Arabidopsis thaliana: one gene and its partner. The protein of the gene in region 2 interacts with the protein of the main gene of each other region in a pairwise test. Each region holds a gene or a part of one and is shown on either strand. Other genes may lie near its edges. The genes, in order: AT1G27280 and KAN3.

What was found.
Region 1: the proteins of KAN3 (region 2) and AT1G27280 interact in a two-hybrid assay, tested with the Arabidopsis thaliana proteins (one large-scale study listed by BioGRID).

What each region holds. Positions count from the first base shown.
Region 1 is NC_003070.9:9,470,927-9,477,361, reverse strand, and holds AT1G27280 (Paired amphipathic helix (PAH2) superfamily protein), read right to left. Parts: upstream 3,336-6,435; coding exon 3,259-3,335; intron 3,167-3,258; coding exon 2,906-3,166; intron 2,798-2,905; coding exon 2,608-2,797; intron 2,522-2,607; coding exon 2,372-2,521; downstream 1-2,371. Other genes in the region: AT1G27270 (Paired amphipathic helix (PAH2) superfamily protein), read right to left, coding at 4,213-4,281, 4,364-4,465, 4,552-4,669, 4,766-5,059, 5,143-5,285; AT1G27260 (Paired amphipathic helix (PAH2) superfamily protein), read right to left, coding at 6,395-6,435.
Region 2 is NC_003075.7:9,846,875-9,853,729, forward strand, and holds KAN3 (Homeodomain-like superfamily protein), read right to left. Parts: upstream 4,054-6,855; 5' UTR 3,825-4,053; coding exon 3,260-3,824; intron 3,122-3,259; coding exon 3,045-3,121; intron 2,265-3,044; coding exon 2,219-2,264; intron 2,141-2,218; coding exon 2,056-2,140; intron 1,845-2,055; coding exon 1,784-1,844; intron 1,395-1,783; coding exon 1,260-1,394; 3' UTR 1,059-1,259; downstream 1-1,058. Other genes in the region: AT4G17690 (Peroxidase superfamily protein), read left to right, coding at 1-233. UniProt on the Arabidopsis thaliana protein: Probable transcription factor that regulates lateral organ polarity. Plays a role in lateral root formation and development.

The DNA of each region.
Region 1 (6,435 bases), on a different chromosome or scaffold from region 2:
GAACATATAGAATATTGTTTAAAGCAAGGGAACGAGATTGAGTAGAGAGAGTTGATGAACCAGTGTGAGTGATCGGAAGAGTAGAGCCATCAGCAATTGTGACTTCTTCTCCACCATTGTAAGGTTGATGAAGAGCAAGGTTGTTCAAATCTGTGGTAAGATGGTGTGTTGCTCCGCTATCAAGAAGCCAAGGATTGTACGACATGGCTGCCATATTTGCACGGGGCTGCCATGGAACAGTAGCATTAGGGTATTGACTTGGAGATGGGGTGGAGTAAGCGCCAGACATCTGAAGCTGTGAACAACGTCTAGCGCTATGGCCAAAAACTCCACAGATTTGGCATTTTCCTTGATAACCACGAGAAGAGGGCTGATCGTTTCTTGGCTGTTGGTATGAATTAGCACCACGATTGTTGTTGTTACGGTTTTGTCCGCGATAGTTGTTGGAGTTGTTATGCTTGTTGTTGGCTGGAGGACGATAACTTGCAGCATTTGCAGAGATCGGAAGAGACGATGCCGCAGCTTGAAGTTTCACTTCATGATTAAGTAACTTCTCGTGAATTTCAGTGAGAGAGGGAGGTACCTCACGACCTTGAATTTGGTCAATGACCTGTTTGTAGTCATCGGAGAGCCCTTCCACAATGACTTCCATCTGTTCCTCACTCTCCATCGGCTTGCCAAGGAGAGCTAGTTGATCAAATCGCATCACCAAGCCTTGGAAGAATTCATCGATGGATTTGGTGTCCTTCTTCCATTGCTTGATCTGTTGTCGTAATTGTTGGATGTGAGACCAGCTGGGTTTAGCATATGTGTCCATCAGCTTAGTCCAAATTTCAGCAGATGTTGTTGTTCGGGAGAGGATCGGTTGAACCGAGATTGAAATAGCGCCTAGTAGAGCACTGTAAATGAGTTGATCTTGCCTTTGCCAGTGCTTGAAGGCAGGATTGACCGTAACTGCACCATTTGCAGTGATGGTTGCAGGTGGGACGACAATGGAGCCGTCAATGTAGCCGGTGAGATCGTAGCCGTTGAGTAGAGCTTGAACTTGACGCCTCCACATGAGAAAGTTAGAGGACGTGAGTTTGGTAACATTAGTCATATTGACGTTGAGAAGACTGGTTGAATCAGATGTAATGACAGTCTCAGAAGCCATTGAAGAGAAAGAAAAATAATGAAAAATGATGAAAAACAGAGTAGCGGCTAGATTTAGGTTTAGGGATCGTTTAAAGCTCTGATACCATATAGTATTGAAGGCTGAATAATTCATTAGATGATATAATTACAATATATATAGTGACTACATTAGAATGAATTAGGGATTAATGATTTATTAAACTATCCTTTACTTATATACTCTACACAAACCACTCAACTTTCCCCCATATTTCACCACTTTTGCGCTTTTCAAGCGTAACCTCTGCACACCAAATCATCTTCCTAAGCGAGTGAATATTATTAGGCCACAAAACTGCCCTCTTTCCACCATAATCAGCCAATCTAATCCTTGTTTTATCAACAGGTACTGGTCCTACGTGGAACTTTCCGTCAAGACATAGAGTTTTGTAGTCAAAGCCGCCAAATGTCTCGCTGCAAGGGATTGGCTTAGGATCGCAAGTCTGTGTTTTTGTGTCGAACACCTCCATCAAGTTTTAATAGGAATTCGAATCGCCATCCTTACAGCATCCTGCTACATATATCTTTTGATCAAGTACGCTAGCAGAATTTGACTGTAGCTTCACTTGCAAGCAAGAAGCCTCGTGCCATGTGTGAGACCAGCAATTCACTTGAATTACCCGATTTACTATATTGATAAACATATTTGGTAATTGGTACTACTATATTTTTGTTTGGTTTGCTTTGTACTTTTTGGTCATTTATAGGTTTGTGCTAAGGCTCTGTTTCTCTATGTTTTTGTTTCTACGTTGAACTAAGATGACCCCAAAATCTCATGTCTTCTTGGTAACGAGGAAAATATCATACATGTACATGTCAGAAGAAACTATACACTCTCTTTTAGTCGCTTATATCCAATCAATCTACACCTCAAATATAAAAGCATATTTGCATATCATGACATCATGTTCTCTATGGAGTAAGAATCAAACTAATCTCATATGAAAACTATACACTCACTTCTCATTAGAAAGAACTACTCTTTTTGTCTCTTATACCCCAAACATGCATTATATTCAAAGCATCCTATACTAAAGCAGAGACAGTCTTCTAATGTACTTAGCTATCTCTAGCAGATTTTGACCCTGATGGATCAGTGGGTCTCTTGAAAACGTCTGCAAACCCCATGACTAAATCTTCATGACCCTCAAGAAGTGCAACGACCCGCAAAGACAACAAAGCAAATCAAACCAAAGAACTAAGAGAAAGTGTAATCCAACCAAAGTGTCCCAACCAAGAACCCTACCTCCTGGTACAAGTCATTCACGGACTTGTTTCCTTCTTGGTACATTGTCAATATCTCGAGAAACGACTCATATACATGACGATCATCCCCCTGGAACCTTTCCTGTACATCGACGGATCTGTTAGCATAGATGGAACATCAAAATGGTAAATGGTAAGGATTAGTTTTAGTATTTTAGCACTCTATACCTTAAGCTTGCCGATAAAACTCGCTACACGTTTTCTTTTGTTAATATCAGATGCAGCCCGTTGCTCAATCTTGAGATGGAGGATTCTCTGAGCCTCAGGTGGAAGGAAGGCATTCAAACGGACAAGCAGATTCTTGTGAGCTTTCAAGAGTTCCTCCACCCTTGTAATGCCACCAGCAACATCAATTAATCTACAAAGAGAATAGTATATAACAAACAGAATCACTTCACAATGTTGTATAGATTGAGACTTGAAATTAAGGGCAAACAGAATTGAAGAGGGACACAACAATACATACCTATACCTGATATCATAAAAGAGCTGGAAAAACTCGTAATACTTTGCAGGTTCATCATGAAATGCTTCCTTGACAGTGTTGATGTATGAAACCGCATCATCAATAGTAGAATCCGGTGATACGCTTGTTGCAGCAATGGTTTGAAGTTGGGCTAACCCTTCGCTAGCCTCAGCTGGAAAGAAGTCAAAGAAACGAACAAGCAGGTTCAAGTGATCTCTCATGAGTTCCCCCATACATGCAGTGATTCTAGCTCTATCGTCTCTACACAAGAGAATAAGAAACATGAGAATCAATTTCACATCTGTATTTGTTTAAGAACAAACCAGACATAACCGGGGGAAATCAAGACATACCTATGATTAAAATAATCACGTATGAGGTGGAGAATATGATTAAATTTTTCAGGTTCATCATGATATACTTCCTCCATAGAACCGAGTTATGAGTATTCATCATCCTTAGTTAACTCTAATGGTACGCTTCTTCCATCCATGGTGTGACCTAAAACCATTGTTATAATCCAAACAGGTCAGATCACATCATTTGAATCCATCTACTATCTCAAAGCTATTTCTTTAAAGTTTTTCAAGAAACAGAGCCAAGTGCAATAAATATCGATCTACTTCCTCAAGAACCCTAGATTGAGGAACGATTTGAAAGCAGAGAACCAGAAAACTCGATCGTAACCCTAATCGTCTGGTGAATTGACATATCAACTGAACGAAACAAATGATAAATCGAAAGAGGAACCAAGTATGGCTACCGATATAAGCAGAGCAAAGCAGCAATGATGAACAAGAAGAAGCTTCGTCTTCGTCTTCGCAGAGTAAGGAGTTCAAGATTTCTAGAAGCAAAGTAAAAACCTCAAGACTGCATAGAGTTTTTGTTCACGAGTCTATATTTATACTAGGGAGTATATCAATTTCGTAATTCATATAAGGTTTACTTAAATTAGAAAATATATTTGTTATTAGAATTACTTGATTCTTATTTGGTTTGCTCTGTAGTTTTTGGCTCTGTTCCTCTCTGTTTTTGTTTCTACGTTGAACTCTGTTTTTGAGTGTTTCTCCTCTCAGTTTCTATTAAAAGATGACCCCAAAGATAACCAGAAAATATTAAGTGAAAAAAACATTTGATATCAAAGAAAGCTCTACAAATACACTTTCTTTTAGTCTCTTACACAGCAATTCATTGAACATAGAAGCATAGCATATTTGTGAATGTCATGTTAATCAAACCTAAACTCAAATGTTTTCGTCTCTTAAGGTATATAGTCTTCCAGTACTGTCCTTAGCTATCTCTAGACTCTATGGATCACTGAAAATTTCTGAAAGCTCCATGAGTAAATCTTCATGACCCTGAATAAGTGCACGGACCTGCAAAAGGTAACAAGCAAATCAAACCAAAGAACTAAGAAAGTGCAACACACAACACAAAGTGTCCCACAAAGAACCATACCTCCTGAGACGCCTCATCTTTGGACTTGTTTCCCTCACTGTGCATTCTCAATATCTGGAGAACTGAGTCAACTACTTGACTACCATCGCCCAGAAACCTTGCCTGCACATCCACAATTTTGTTACTTAAATCACAAGTTAACATATAAGAAACATCCAGTAACTATAAGCATTTAAGCACTCTATTACCTTAAGCTTCGTGATAAACCTCCTTGTAGGTGAAAGGAAGACACAGAAACCAAGAAGCAGATTCAAGTGATCTTTCAAGAGTTCCTCCATCCTTGCAATGACACTAGCGGCATTGATTCTACAAAGAGACTTAGTAATATCAGAATCAATTCACATGTGTGTTTGTTGTGTAAATTGAGAAAATCAAACATAACATGGAGAAAACAATTCATACCTACGAGCTTTAAGATCAGTCAAGAGCTTAGTAATTTCCATATATTTTGCAGGTTCATCATGAAATGCTTCCTTCACAGCATTGAGGTAAGAAGTCGCATCATCCATGGTAGGCACCGCCACCGCCGGTGGTACGCTTCTTCCAACCACCTTATTGATGTGAAACTCTGCGCTAGCCTCGGGAGGGATGGCTGTCTGCAACCTAAAAGGAAGTAAGACATTTGAACCATGACACAGATTCGCGTGATCTCTCAGGAGTTCCTGCAAGCTTGCACTCAAAGTTTCGAAACCGAATCTATAAAGAGAAAAATAACATCAGAATCAATTCTCACATGTGTCTTTGTTCTCTAAACTGTTGAAGAGCAAACCAAAACATACCTATTAGCAGTATAATCAATAAAGATTCTTACAAACTCTTGATATTTTTCAGGTTCAGTATCCTGCAATGCGACCTTCACAGCATCGAAGTATGCCATCCCATCTTCGAAATTGAACTCTGGTGATTTGCTTTTTCCAACCATGGTGTCAAATTAGCCTAATCCATAAGTCAAAGATAAAGATTATTGTTCATCGAAACAGATCAGATTATTCATTGAAACCCTTCGTGTATCTCGAATCTATCTCGAGAAACTTAATCTACAGCAACAACTAAATCAGTTCGTCGTGATTCATGCAAAGTTCATCTTCTAGAATACAGATTCATGTAAATTTCATCCAACAAGATCCTTAAGAACATCTAGAATCAGTCTCGATAGAAAGAAAACAACAAGACGTGCCGATCAAGAAACTAGAAAAGAATCATATACGAGATCAAGACATTCGATCGTTAACCTAATCGTCACGTCACATGATTTCACATTTCACATGAACGAAAAAGGAATTGAAACGAAGAAGAAGAAGAAGAAAACTACCTAACGAGCAAGCTTCGTCTTCGCAAGTGGGAGAGGCTTCAAGATTCCCAGAAACAAACGCACTCTGTTTTGAGTTCTTTTTTTCTCTCACCAAAACCTCAGAGACTGATTTGAGTTTTATTCACGAGTCTATATTTATAGTAGGGGATTATCATATTGACTTCATTTCTTTTTGTTGTTGTAAAACTGTAATTTGTAAAATTTGTGAATCTGAAATTTTAAAAGCTTTCTTCAATATGATAATAAAATATTTTATCAATTCGTAATTTATACAATAATTTAGAAAACATATTTGTTGTCATTAGATTTACTAAAATTTCTTTGGTTTGCTCTGTATTTACTCAAGTAATTCTTGTTTGGTTTGCTCTGTTCCTCTCTGTTATTGTTTCAACGTTGAACTCTGATTTTGAGTGTTTCTCCTCTCAGTTTCTATTAAAAGATGACCCCAAAGATAACCAGAAAATATTAAGTGAAAAAAACATTTTGATATTAAAGAAAGCTCTACAAAAGAAACTATACACTATCTTTTAGTATCTTATACACCAATTCATTGAGCATAGAAGCATAGCATATTTGTGAATGTCATGTTAATCAAAGCTAAACTCAAATGTTTACAAAGAAAACTAAAAACACTCTCTTCTCATTAGAAGCTCTACTCATATTTTTGTCTCTGAAGGTATAAACAGTCTTCCGGTACCGTCCTTGCCTATCTCTAGACTCTATGGATCACTGAAAATAATTTTTATAAGCTCCATGACTA
Region 2 (6,855 bases):
ATAATATGTATTTCAAGAACTTGAAACGAGGTCTTGGACTGTTAGCTTCCGACCATATATTGTTTAAAGATCCTAGCACGAGACCGTTTGTAGAATTATATGCGAATAATCAGACGGCTTTCTTCGAGGATTTTGCACGTGCCATGGAGAAACTAGGCAGGGTTGGTGTTAAAGGCGAAAAAGATGGAGAAGTGAGACGTAGATGTGATCACTTCAACAAGCTTAACGTATAAGTAGCATAAACAGAAGAACATCATTGACTTCGATCGGTTTTCTTTGTATTTTTTTTTTAATAAATGTATTTATAAATAAGTAAGTTAATGTAACAATTTTGAGTGCCTAAAATTTACAAATAATCTTTGTTATATAGAGAGCATTAGATCTTACTTTATGGAGGAGAATACAAATTCAAGTTCTTGAGTTATTTCCCCATCATCTTCTTCTTTAAAACAAGTGTCTCCGTTTTAAGTGTTGTTGGCCAAACTTCGACGAATAAAGTCCAAATTGATTATTAAAACGGCTCAACTTGTGATAAGGCCTTTTCGCCGGTAAGTATTTTTCTTCATTTGCCACCATAAGATTATGATATTTGCGTTGTAGCTAGAAATAGCCTCCGATATTTTTACTGTTCAAATATACTTTTTTGCTATATTCATCTAAAGTATTTTTGATTTGACCAATCTAAAATTTTAGTAAAATATACTATATTTAAGTAAGATTATGTAATTACTACGTATTTTCATTATCATCATCGTATGCTTCATGTGTCTAAAGCTCTTGTTAAGGTTACCAATAAAAAGAATCTTCGTATGGTTGGTTAGTTTTCTTAACATTTGGAATTATGGATAGATTGTAATGTATTTCGTTTTATTCTCTTTTTTGGCTTTACTCAAAATGAATAATTAGAAGAAAAAATTAGTGAAAGTCTTCGTCGGGTCAACGTCACAAGTGTCAGACACGTGTCAGAGAACCATGTGTTAAGAAGTAAAGCAGTCCGATTTAGACACGTGGATGAGTCATAGCTTTGCATCGCTGTAATGATGACCAAATAATTTTATTCCCATTCAAGACAAGAACAAGCATCTCAAATTTATGACCCAAAAAAAAAAGCATCTCAATTTTACAGTACAAAAGGAAAAATGAATAAAGGAAGAAATAAACGTCATTTCATATATATTTTTTCAAAAGCATAAACTTTTAAGTTTGAGATTTATATAATTTTTAACAGATAATATGTATTTTTAGTATATATAAGAAAATTAGGGAGAGAGGTTTGGTGTAGCTAAAGTGAAATCAAGATTGGGAGTTTCAGTCTCTGGTCTTGTCCCTGTAAGGCTTGACGAATCTGACGACAACCGTTCGTTGCTTGGACATCTTCGATTCTTCCATTCATTCTGACATCATTTTAGAATAAAAGATTATATATTATAAGAATCATCTCATATAACATTTCATATATAGACTGTGTCTTTATTTTCAGTTTGCTTTCTATTTCAAAATTTCCAATTAAACTATTTTGAAGATTTAAAGACAATCAAATCTAGTGAATTGGGTTCTGAAAATAAAGTATCATAGATATCAACTCTCCAAAACAAAGTCTTTAATTTCTCTGCTTTTGAGACAAAATCAAAAGAAGAAAAACACTTTTTTACCCAAATGGAAGAGAAAAAAAGTAACTTATAATCCTTTATAAAAACTTTTTTTTTCTTTTTTTTCAGCCTCGAATTTTGCAAGTCCCGTTTTATTCCAATGCCCTTTTGGTTAAATTTTTGAAATCTGTTACCTCATTGGATGAAATGTCTACACCTGATGATGCCTTTGCCTTCAACTGGAACCGAGCTTCACTGTTTATACAGATTCAAATTATATCACATTGATTTTTTGAAGGAACAAAAAAGAATAATATAATGCTAATGATTTTGGCTCAACTAACATAATATTATATATATTAAGTTTCTCATATGATGCAAATATAGAAAGTTGCCTAATAAGTATATACATATCTGTCCAACAAATACTAAATTCTACTTAGGCAAATATTAAAACATAACATACCTTGAGGAGTTATTCCATAGACCCGTGAGATTTCTTGCTTCTCTCTCACTGTTTACTTGTGATCCATTCTCACAATCTGACTGCCCTATACACACACGTTTATCAGATGTATAGTATTTAACAGATAATTTAATTAAATCAAATACATAATCAATCAAATAACCTGATGACGTTGTAGGTTTTTCAGTAGACTTGATGGTTCGATACATCTGAAACATTATAGATTAGATTACTAATATTATATATAAGTGCTAGTTATAAGAATAATTAATAGTTATATCGATCAATACATACACATGAATTATATATAATGTGTGTGTGATGTTCGTGTGTTTAGACTTGTTCCATTCAGGCATTCACGTGTGTGTATATAAGGCTATAACCTAGATATGCACGCACACAGAGACAGAGATGGATAAAGTAAGAAAAAAAGAGATCAAAGTAAAACAGAAAGCATTTACGATTCATGAAAATGTGCAGCCATACACAGAGATGGGAGATGTGCATGGGTCTACGTGCCTTATTCTGACTATAGTCAAATTATGCAAAACAGCAACTTATATATTTGTTATCATTGAAGAATCATGCATATACATATATGTGTGCATATCAATCTAAATATCATCATTGAAGAATGATGTCTCCTTTGTACTTTTACTTTTCTACTGCATCTCTAGTAATAAAAGGACTCTTTCTCTTACTCTTTGTCTATATCTTGCTTTTGATTCCTTCTCTTTTTATCTTTTTTCTTTCTTCACTTTGTATATAATTTCTTTATATATATATATATATATATATATATATATATATATATATATATATATGGGGGCGACCAAAAGTTTAACCATGTCCAAATTAATCACAATTTTTCTTTTAGCCATTTCATAAAAAAGTGCAGTGGGTTTGGTTCATTTGCATATTCAAATCCATAATACAATAAATTCATTTATTTACCTATACATTATGTACCTGTAACTTAAGAAGATTACCTGTAGATGGGATTTAACATGAGCCAATGTGAGATCTTGCACATCCATCAGCTCAAGTACTGATTTTGGGGTTGCTCCTGGATATTAATCATAATTACTAAGTCAATAAAAATAGAATTTTTGATCAAGCCTATTCATTATTCTTTTTGTTAAAAATGAAAAAGAGATATAAATTCAATTAAATAAAAAGGGGTAATAGTGAAAAAGGACAATACTTTCATGACCACCCAATAATTGAACAGCGTGTACAAAATGGGCGTGGAGGGTCGTCGTCCACCGCATCCTTGGAGCCCTTACTCCTCTTTTGGCGGTGAATCTTGGCGGCTGCGGTTGAGCTTGACGCCGATGACGGTTGTGGAGATTAAAACTACAATTAGGGTTTGTGATTAAGCGACGACTAGCATGTTGACCGTTGACTTCACTGAAGAAGAAAGGATTGGGAGAGGTAGATGAGTAGTAGTAGTGGTCAAGGACTTGATTCTGGTAAAGAGGGATTCCTCTTATTGGTCTCATCATAAAAATAGATCTCAAGTCTTGATCGAGAGATTCCTTGTGTTCTTGATTACTATTAATCTTGGTGGCTTCATTGTTTGAAGTGAACTGGAGAGTGTGGATGAGATTATTTGAAGACTTGTTGTCTAAATCTGAGGCTTTACTCTGAAACCCTAATCTCCTTTCGACTTCTTGTTCTTGTAGTTCTTGACTTTCTTTTTCTTGTTCTTCTTCTCTTCTTCGGCTGATCTTCAAGTACAAGTCAGGTTGTGAAGGGAAAAGCTCCATAAGAAGAGAGAATTGGTGAATGATTTTGAGATAATCTTGATGAATTTTATGGGAAAAAGGAGGGGTATAATGTTATTTATTTCAAAAAGTTTTTTTTTTCTTCTTCTTAACTTAATGAATTTTTGTTCTTGGTGAGAAGAGAAAAGCAGTTGTAAAGAATTAGAGAGAGAAAAATAGGGATGGCAAAAGGTATGAGGGAAATGAGAAGTCTCTTTCTTCTCTGTTCCCTTTGAGAAAATGACACTTTAAGAGTCTAATAAAGGGGTTGGGTGAAACATGAATTTCCATTTAATTTTTCCTTTCCCTTTTCTTCATATGTAAAGGAAAATACCAATTTATATGGCATATTTTGTTACAATGTAGATATCATCTATCACATATCAGTATTTAATGATGGTATAATAAAACAATAATGTATGGAATTATTCGATTATTTGTGTTCAGATTTACATGTGAAAATGACACTTGTGTTGAAACTGAAAGATGCGTGTGTGTATATGTTTTTTTTTCCTGATAATATCATTGTAGAAAATTTAAAATAAGAATCAAAGGCTGATATTTTCTTAGAAAACAAAAAAGGAACAACCATAGCTACTTGTTTAGTTGTTGATAAAATGCTACTATATATAAAAAATACACCTGCATGAAATTTAAGAGATGAAGATACATTAAAACCAAAACTGAAGTCTCGTCGTCACTTGTTGTTTGTCTTGTTTATTGGTTTAATTCTTTGTCCTCCTTGAAATCGGAGTTTGGAATTATACCGAACATTACGAACTTGGTGGCTGGGTGCCTAAGAATAAATTGAATATGATATTGCGTCTAATTAATACCTGAAAAAGCTTTTCTTTTTCCTTCTATATATTGTTTGTGGAGAAAGTGATTTTGTTTACGTGATAAGATAAAATTTAAGGAAAATAAGAAATGGGAAAAGAATAATATCACATTGACAGTGAGATATCACCTTAAAATATATATTGTATATAGTTTCGATTATGTTTATTAGTAATTTTCAAAACAAGTTAACATTAAAGGTTTTTTATTCCACGAAGCATTAACTTCATTTCCATCAAAATACTATACGACATTAATTTAATTTTGGCCCTAGTGACACCGATAGACAGTCCAAGATTTGATTCCCAAAACGCCCTTTGATAATTCATGTCCCCTAAGCCCATACATCGACAGATAATGTTGGGGACGATCCTTAGATTCATTTGTTTTTTTTTATATTTTTCACATATTTGATTAAACTAAGAAAATCTGAATCCAAAAATAGGTTTCCGTAAAAGTCGAACCTTTTTCCAGTTTTAGTTCCGGCAGCACGAGGAACGATATAAGACAAACGGAAAGGAATTTTTATGGAAAATCGATAGAGAAAATAAGATTAAAGAATATAATTTAATTTACTTGATTGGAGGCACTACCAACCGACGATGCATAAGACAAAGTTAGAAGCTCAAAAACATTACTAGGTTAGGAGATAAAATCTTATTCTTTTTTAACCGAATCATTAAATAAATCGTATTAATCGAATCTTATTTGTTTTTCAGCAATCCGCGATTAACTATCATCACTAGTACTTGAGTTTTGTAGCAATGAATCTTATTTGTTCTTCTCGTCGTCACATACAAACAAGAAACTAATCATGATAAGTTCTGAGGGGTCGGACTTAAGTGACGAATAAATAGGAGAAATATCAAAAACTATTGAAAATTTATAGTGGTCAAATAGAGAACAAAGGTTCCCATCAATTTGAGTAAGTTACTCCGACACGGGGACGTAAGAGTGAAACCTAGTGAAAAGCATGCTGTCCACTTCACTTAGTGTAAAATTGTAAGACCTTTCAGGGCACACAGTTTGTTGTATATTTTAGATTTTTATTTCGTAAGGTTATCCGTATATACGAATCAATTTCCTACATATATATATATATATATATATATATTTCCTTCATAATGTGATGAAAAAGAGAAGTACAATAGGAAAAAGATTGATTGAAAAATGAAAAAGTAGAAGCACACTTAATAAAGGAGTAGAGGAGAAAGATTTGGAGTTTATAGAATAATTGCCCCCACGAATCTTTTTTTGGGAGATATTTTAAGCAAATCTTAACTTTGGGGAATTTGATAAGAACCCACATTTCTATTCGGACAAAAGAGTTGCTTGCAAACTTTAAGTCGAAAAATTATTTATCTGGTATTAAAAGAAATGAATTAAAATCTACAAGGGAAAAAAAAGAAAAACCTAATCTTAGCTAGCTGGTTATACGTGTGTCATGTAATAAAATGAAACTATTTGACTAAGTTCATATTGGGTGGGACTGGTATCACTGGACTGTAAGGAATTTGTTTTTAATAATAATATTGTTATGGTAGAGGAATTCTTATTTTTTTAGTAGATTGGTGTGTTATTGGTTTGATAATTTTTTAAGATTAGGATTATACGATGCAAGTTGAATTATTGAATTTGTTTTGTCAATTGTAAGAAATGACAATAATTTACGCATCTAAATGCTGTGGGGAAGATATAAGCTTTTTGTACAGTAATAATGGTTACTTACTATTCCATCAACTATTAAAAATCATGTAAAGAATAAAGACCTACCACTTTCATTGTTTGCTAGCTAGTATATATATATTTATGGTTAGTAAAGTAATAGAAAATCAGTACAAAGACAAAATTTAAGGAAATGAATTAAGAGTTCTTGGTTTTGGTGCATGTGGAAATATTTGAGGTTAAGACTGTTTACTGTTGGAAATTTTAAGCAAACAAGACATAATCAATCATTGTTTTAATTTGGGATGTAAAAACAATTTTTTTAATGCCTAAGAACAACCTTTTGTTAGTGTGTGTATGTATATATGGATACATATTATTTAATAAATCATTTTCTATTGTGTGTGAACGAACATATAACTCAAAACATAAAAATACTAAGATTTACTAATTCTTGTTTGATTAGTATAACAAAATTCACGAAATTATATTAATATGCACATATGTGTTTTTTTTCACAAAAAGTTTATTG